2 linked regions of the Canis lupus familiaris genome follow. The protein of the gene in region 2 purifies or fractionates together with the protein of the main gene of each other region. This does not show direct contact. Links are inferred from orthologs where the notes say so. Each region holds a gene or a part of one and is shown on either strand. Other genes may lie near its edges.

Region 1 (3,813 bases), on a different chromosome or scaffold from region 2:
AAGGCATGTCCCTGAGGGCTTGAGGGGAACTGCCAGGGGCGCCTAGGCCGAGTACTCTTCAGAGATGCTTCTTCCAAGTCTGTTCTCCCTCTTCAGTTAGACACTGTGTTTTTATTTATGGGCCACAGACCTAATCAGTGCTTGTTTACCGTGCTGAGGATCCCCAGACCTGTCCCCCGGAGAAGGGGCTTTATCACAACATAGATCCTTGTTCCTGATCGTAAGATCTCTGCAGCACCCAGAAAGCCTCTCATACAGCATCCCCCTGGTCCACAGTTCTGGTGGCCAGGCAGGTTTGCAAACCCCTTTGCTGGACACCAGGCGGCACATACAGGCCTTTGAGCAAGGCTACAGCCTTCAGGTTTGCTTTGAGGGAGGCTGTGCTTGCCGGACTTGGTGATGCGTGTCGGACGTTGGGGTGGGGTCAGGCCTTGAGGGGCCTCTGTGTTGAGCTGTCCTGGAAGAGCTGGGCACGAAGGTGGGGGCTGCAGGAGAAGCAGGGCTGCCGAGGGGAAATAGCCCAGATTTAAACACGACCAGTTGGAAAGGACTTCCAGAGAGTTCTAGCAGGATTTGGAACTTAGAAGGTGGTTCTGAGTTTGAAGCAAGGTGGTGGTTAATGGTTTGATGACTAGTATTCTCTCTTCAACAGCCTACCCCTGTTAAACCAAACTACGCTCTAAAATTCACCCTGGCTGGCCACACAAAAGCCGTGTCCTCCGTGAAATTCAGCCCGAATGGAGAGTGGCTGGCAAGTTCATGTACGTATCACCAGGGCCTCCGCTCCTGTCAAAGGTAGTCTGTGCTGCCACCAGAAGCCCGGAGCAGGGGGAGGGCTTGCTTTCTGATGCTGCCACTGGGGTGTCGCAGGGGCTGGAGCCCTTTACGTAACACTCTGAGATGATGTGCTCAGGGGAGAGGGGAAGGGTACTCCGGTGCCGGCTACTTCTTTCCATGGGATTTGCACTGTTTCCAGGGCTCCTGTTGTGGGCAGCCCGGATTTTGCCCTTGGGGTGACTGTACCATCACAGTTATTTTGTCTTTCTTTTTTTCAGCTGCTGATAAGCTCATTAAAATTTGGGGAGCATATGACGGAAAGTTTGAGAAAACCATATCTGGTCACAAGCTGGTAGGTTCATCCCTGCACGTGGAGGTTGCCCACTGGCCGCCTTAGCCCCACTGGTGGGTGGGGCCCATCCCCAGAGCTCAGCAGGTTAAGGTCTAAGCTTTCCCCCGGAGTTTTTTGGATAGTTCTTTGCTTTTTGTCTTTTTTTTTTTTTTTTCCTTTTGTCTTTTAAGCAAGTACTTCTGACCTTCCCAGACAAGTTTCTGCCTGACTGCAAGAGAACACACTCTCCTTTGGGGACTGTGCGGTGTTTCGTCTGTGTGGTCAGCAGTAGCTAGAGGGTTTGGGTAGTGGAGTGAGGTGCTTATTTATCTTTGGATGGATGTTCTGACCTTTGCTGGTTAACTGTATTTTGTCCTGTCAAGGCGGTGACCCTGTGTCTTTGCTCCCCAGGGGATATCAGATGTGGCCTGGTCATCAGATTCCAACCTCCTCGTTTCTGCTTCAGATGATAAAACCCTAAAGATCTGGGATGTGAGCTCGGTGAGCTGCTCTGCCCAACCCCCGCCCCGGCAGAGCTTGTGTGCGTGGACAAGGGGCAGGGCGGGAGTCCGAGGGGGGTCTGGGGACCCTGGGTCATGGGGTGGCCCTGCTCTGTGGGGTATGTGCCATTGGGCCGCTGTGGGCTCAGCTTTGAAATAACCACTAGGACTAACAGTCTGACGATACTTGGTTTTAGGGAAAGTGTCTGAAAACCCTGAAGGGGCACAGTAACTACGTCTTCTGCTGTAACTTCAATCCCCAATCCAACCTCATTGTCTCGGGCTCTGTAAGTCTAACCCCCCCTTCCCCTGGGGTGTTGTAGGGGTGTGGGGGTGTGGTACTTTGTAGCCAGAGACTTAGGAGTTGAGCCTGAGTCTTCTCTGCTGGGGGATGGGGGCCGTGGTGGCAGGCCTTGGGTTCCAGAAGACCTGTCCTCTCCCACCTCCCTGTGGAGTGGCCTTAACCTCTTCCTTTGTCTTCAGTTTGACGAAAGCGTGAGGATATGGGACGTGAAAACAGGGAAGTGCCTCAAGACTTTGCCTGCACACTCGGACCCGGTCTCAGCTGTAAGTCCCGCTGAGCTCTGGACACCACATGGCAAGACAGGGTGATGGCCAGAGAGGGGGCACTGGGGACCCCGAGAGAGTTCTCCCTATCCTGGGCCCGTGAAAGGAGAGGCAGGCGAGGGGTTTGGTCCCTGAACCAAATCCTGTGGGACAGGTAGGGCAGCCAGGCCTGGAAGAGGGGCTGTGTGTTGGGAAGTGTGGCCACAGAGAAGTGAATTTGGAGTGGAGTTGGCTTTGATCCTGGGGTGGTGGTGGAATGAGCTGGGGTGAGCTAGCCGAGGGTAAGGGCTGGGGTGGGGGGGGGGTTGGAGCCCCACGAGCACCCTGTGTGTGCTGTGTCCTGCCTTGTGCACACGCTAGCAGTGTGCAAGATGAGGTACGTAGTTGAAGTATCTGCTGTAATACAAACCCTCCATTTGAAAGTGGCCGAGAGATTTTTTTCTTTGTCAGCAGAGCCTAGACTTGTTTCTTAGCCAAGTTTGCCTTTTTTTGGAAAGGGGAAGGAATCGTGTAAACATTGTGCTTATTTTTACTGAGCAGATGGTCCTTTTCACTTTCTGAAATCGTGTAGGTGAGTGATTTTAAGTATTTTCAGGCAATAAAGGGCTTTTTTGCCCAGCTGAGACCATTCGCAGAGCCCAGATACATGGAGGACATGTATTACGTGTTGGTCGCAGTGGACTGAGGGGCCCTCGCTGCCCAGAGTCCCGGCCAGTGTGGATGGGGCTCATCCTTGGGGGCCCCGAGGAAGGCAGTGTGCTGTGGAGAGGGGGCCTGGCCCACCTGGCGCTCTGCCCTCTGCCGTGGACCCCCAGTCCCAGGAGAGCTGACTTTGAGATGGGCATGGTGGTGAATGTGGGCAGGACCCAGGATGCAAGCTGAGTGAAGGCCAGGAGTCCCAGCAGTGCGAGGTGGTGCGGGGGCTGTGGGTGGGACCCTCAGCCTAAGTGGTAGGGTTTATAGAGTCTTTGTTTTCTGTGGAAGTGAAACGTACTCATTTTTTAAAAAAGACAAACGGATGCAGTGAAGAGAAAGTCACTCTCCTGAGCCCTCCAGGACCCCTGCTGGTAGCCCCCCCCCCCCCCCCCCCCCCGCACGCCCTGGGTATTCTGATATTTTAAATATGTGCTATCTCCCACCATCTGTCCTGTAAGTGGTGGGGGTGACCACAGCTATTGTGCGTCCCTGTGGGAGGGTTTCTCGGGCATCTGTGGTGTCCATAGACCCCCATGGGCAGTGGGCACTCTGTGCTGGGGCCTTAGCAGGTGCTTGTTCGTAGCTTGCATTTCTCATGGAGGAGTGCGATGAGCATCTTCGTTGGGCCACTTTACCCACCATGTGTTTCTGCGGTGAGCTTTAGGAGGTCATCATCGTGTGAAAGAGGTTCACTTAGTTTCCCAAGTAGATCCATCTGGGAGCGAGAAGCCCCTGGCACCAACTCTGCTGGCTGCCCCGTCCCTTGCTTCCTCCTTCCTGAGTCTGGCCTCATCCTCTCTCGCCCGGACTCCTGCATCAGTTTCCTCTCTGAAATGGCCCTCCTATCTGTCTCATCCCGAGCCTGTTGCTCCAGGCTGCCACCTCTTGGCCTGTGGATTTTCCTTGTATCTTCCTGCTTTGCAGGACCTCACCTGTCTGCCA
Region 2 (3,441 bases):
AACTGCGGTTAGTCGAAGTCCTACAAACACACAAAAACTGCTTAAGGGCCGGGAAGATCAAGTACAGGAACTCATGGTAAAGTAGGATTTAGATTAAAGGAGAAAAATAAGCCTGAGAGATTGATTAGCTAAAAAAAACAAGTAAAAAATTAATCAGACCAAACAAGCAGAGAGTAGGCCATAGGCAGAGAGAACATTACTGAAGCAACCGGGGGAAGAGTTTGGTAAGTCCTAGTACTGGGTGTTGCTGGACCACAGTGAAAAAAGATATATAAGAAATTAAAAACACCTACTGCAGAGCAATGAAAAACCTACATAAAGCTCTGGACTTGGAAGTTATGAGGATGAAGTGGCTTCTGTGGGGAAAACAGTCTGGGAGGGGACAAGAGTGAACCCAGGTGACCAGCGTGGCTTCCTCTACAACAGTCTGGGCAAGAGAATGAAAAGTAGACGAAGCTGAGATTTAATTTGAAGATAAATAGAAAAGAGAAAGGTATAACTATAAAGAGGCATTAAAGATATTTCCTAGTTTTCTCTGAAGATCCTCATCACTAAAATAGCACAAGTCGATTTATGGGTACCACCTGAAGTTCAGTTTTATTTTTTTAAGATTTTATTTATTTACTCATGAGAGACAGAGAAAGAGAGGCAGAGACACAGGCAGAGGGAGAAGCAGACTCTATGCAGGGAGCCTGATGTGGGTCTTGATCCCGGGTTTCCAGGATCACACCCTGGGCTGAAAGCGGCACTAAACCACTGAGCCACCCAGGCTGCCCTGAAGTTCAGTTTTAAATATTGATTTTGAGATGCATAAGGAGTATTCACAGGTGTCTGGAGTGCAAAGAAACAGAATTGGAAGTGTCCAGCACTGAGATATTATCTGATGTCCTAGGAGTGAGGAGGAGTTACTCTGGCATACAGATATAGATGGGGCTGTATCACAAAGCCCATCCCCGCCTCTTCCAAGTGTTTCAAGAAGGAAGTAACGAACAGCTTGATAAAGGACAAGCGAAGGTTGTTAAGTGTCTAGTGAATTTTACACTAGGGACCACTAGTGCCCTTTGCAAATGGTCCCTCCAGTGAAGAACAGAGATGAAAAGGAAATGAGAAAGGAAAATACCAGGAAACTGATTTTGTGAAATTAAAAACAAAGCAAAATAAAACAAAAACCCAGGACGTCCAGCTGTGAAGAGATGGGGAAAGACGGAGTAACTGGAGCAGGAGGCTTTTATTTCTGGGTATGAGAGCTACAAAGTGGCTGCAAGTGGAATCTAGAAAAGGAATGAGAAACAGAATTAGTAATTGAAGATGCAGTTTGATAATACTCTAGAGCCTGACCTTTGGTGGAAGAAAGGACACTTTGTTTATTGGAATGAAAAAAGCACACATGCAGATCCAAAAGGAAAAAGCATGCCTGACTCCTGGCAAAGATTTCTTATAGGTTTGGTTACTACTGTTTTTTACATCCACATTTAAAAAAATCCAGTTGCATCATCATCATCCTCTGCTACCTGGCAACTGGTTTACTTGCTGTTTTCTAGAAAGTATAATGTGCTTTTTTAAAAGAAGATTTTATCGTATTTCTTTGAGAGCGCGCAACCATGAGAGGGGGCGGTGGCAGAGGCACAGGCCGACTTCCTGCTGAGCAGAGTCCATGAACTCCCTTTTAGAACCAAGACCATGCCATTACGAACCTCAGCCCAAGTCAGACAAGTCAGACGCTTAACCCACTGAGCCACCCCAGTGCCCCGCTCCTTTTGGGTGTACTTCTTTACTGTTACCTGCTTTAACAAGCATAATTTATAAACACCTTTTCCAAAAGTCAAAAATAATATCTAAACATACCTCTGCCTAATCTGGTCGAGTTTCTCAGGGTCTGTAATAACCACCTGTACACCAAGCTTCATTTTTGTTTTCTGCAGGCTGAAGTCAAGGCAAGCAATTTTTGCATTAACTATCCTCTTGGGCATGCCTATAATTGAACACATTGAATACCTTTATAAGAACTGTAACAATGTCACATCTTATAAAATACACCTATTCTTAAGCACAAAAGTAGCAAAAGATATTAAATTATCTTTAAAGACAAAAACTTACATTTTTATTATATTTAACTCTACAAACAAATTTTTAGGGCCATTACCACACGTAATGGTAATTTTAACTTGCATTGCACTTCTCCTAAGTTTTATGTACTAAGTTACACAAGGGAAACCGGAAACCTGGATATACGATTTCCTTTACTCTGGGCTTTACTGAAGAAAAGTAGGTGCAAGTCTTGGATAGCCCACCTGAAAGATGTATAGTAAGTAAGTAGTCCACAAAAAGCAAATTTTCACTTTTAGTACTAAATCCTAAGCCTTACCTTGGGATCCCACCACACAGTTGAGTGCATAGCCACTGATAAGCAAACTCTCTGTCTGACTTCTCCCATGGGCTTTCAGAATGTTAACAGAATTGACTGGATAGCGAGGCTGGCCTCTTACGTCTGTATACTTAACCGCAAGTACAGCATCTACTACCATATTGGCAAAGAAATCACCATTTCTAAGACAAGGGTTAAGGGGAACATGGAGAGACATGGAATGAACAGGTGCACACAAAAATCAAGAGTAATCCAAGGCACTTCCTTTTAGCAATTCATCAAAGAAACAAGCATTAATAATAAAACTCCATCAAAACGCAGGAGTTATCACTACTTGAAATTCATAGTACTATTACACACTTTATTATCATCTCTCCCCCTAGAAAATCAAGGAAGGGAGCAATTTTAATACAGTATCACACGGCATAAAAACTAACCAAGATTTTATCACAAGGATACATTCCAATGATTTTGGAAGACATCGACGTCTTAGCAGCATTGATTAGGCAATCTCTTCCAAGTTCATCTGTGTTAATAATCAGATTTTCACTGATGTATCGCACTGCCTCCCTGTTTGAAGTGTGTGGGAGAAAACATTTGTAAATGCACTACTCAAACTTTGTTTTACCAAAGTGTCAAAATATCTTAGGCACCAATTTTCTGTTTGGCCATTTCATATAGGAGGAGGACACAAATAAATCCTCCCTCTTCAGATCATGGCAATTTTAATCTATCCCATAAGCATAGCCACCAAAATCTATTATTGGGAGAAAATGTGGTAGTCAAATGGGAAAAAAGATGCTAGCCTTATTCTTACTCCAGATATTATTACTAAAATAGCACTTTTTCAAAATAAAATTTAGTCATTAACATTTAAAGAACACAGACTATTTACAACTATAACATCACATAATGTAAAATTTCCTCTGAATGCAAACAATCTTACTTGCAAGCAAGTCGATAGCCACTAATAACTGATGTGGGATGAATTTTCTGTTTGACTAGTTCATCTGCATTTTTAAGAAGTTCTGCTGCAATAATAACCTGTTGAGAAAATATTCACTGCTTTTAGTCTG

The links.
Region 1: the proteins of TCP1 (region 2) and WDR5 purify together in Homo sapiens (affinity purification with mass spectrometry; 3 studies listed by BioGRID and IntAct, with this or other methods). This does not show direct contact. The link is inferred for Canis lupus familiaris from reciprocal best matches to the Homo sapiens genes TCP1 and WDR5.

Annotation. Positions count from the first base shown.
Region 1 is NC_049230.1:50,410,419-50,414,231, forward strand, and holds part of WDR5 (WD repeat-containing protein 5), read left to right. Parts: coding exon 1-3; intron 4-652; coding exon 653-761; intron 762-1,055; coding exon 1,056-1,129; intron 1,130-1,519; coding exon 1,520-1,609; intron 1,610-1,805; coding exon 1,806-1,895; intron 1,896-2,091; coding exon 2,092-2,175; intron 2,176-3,813.
Region 2 is NC_049222.1:49,585,032-49,588,472, forward strand, and holds part of TCP1 (T-complex protein 1 subunit alpha), read right to left. Parts: intron 3,410-3,441; coding exon 3,312-3,409; intron 3,160-3,311; exon of another isoform or gene 3,020-3,159; intron 2,936-3,019; coding exon 2,825-2,935; intron 2,548-2,824; coding exon 2,366-2,547; intron 1,973-2,365; coding exon 1,846-1,972; intron 1-1,845. UniProt on the Homo sapiens protein: Component of the chaperonin-containing T-complex (TRiC), a molecular chaperone complex that assists the folding of actin, tubulin and other proteins upon ATP hydrolysis.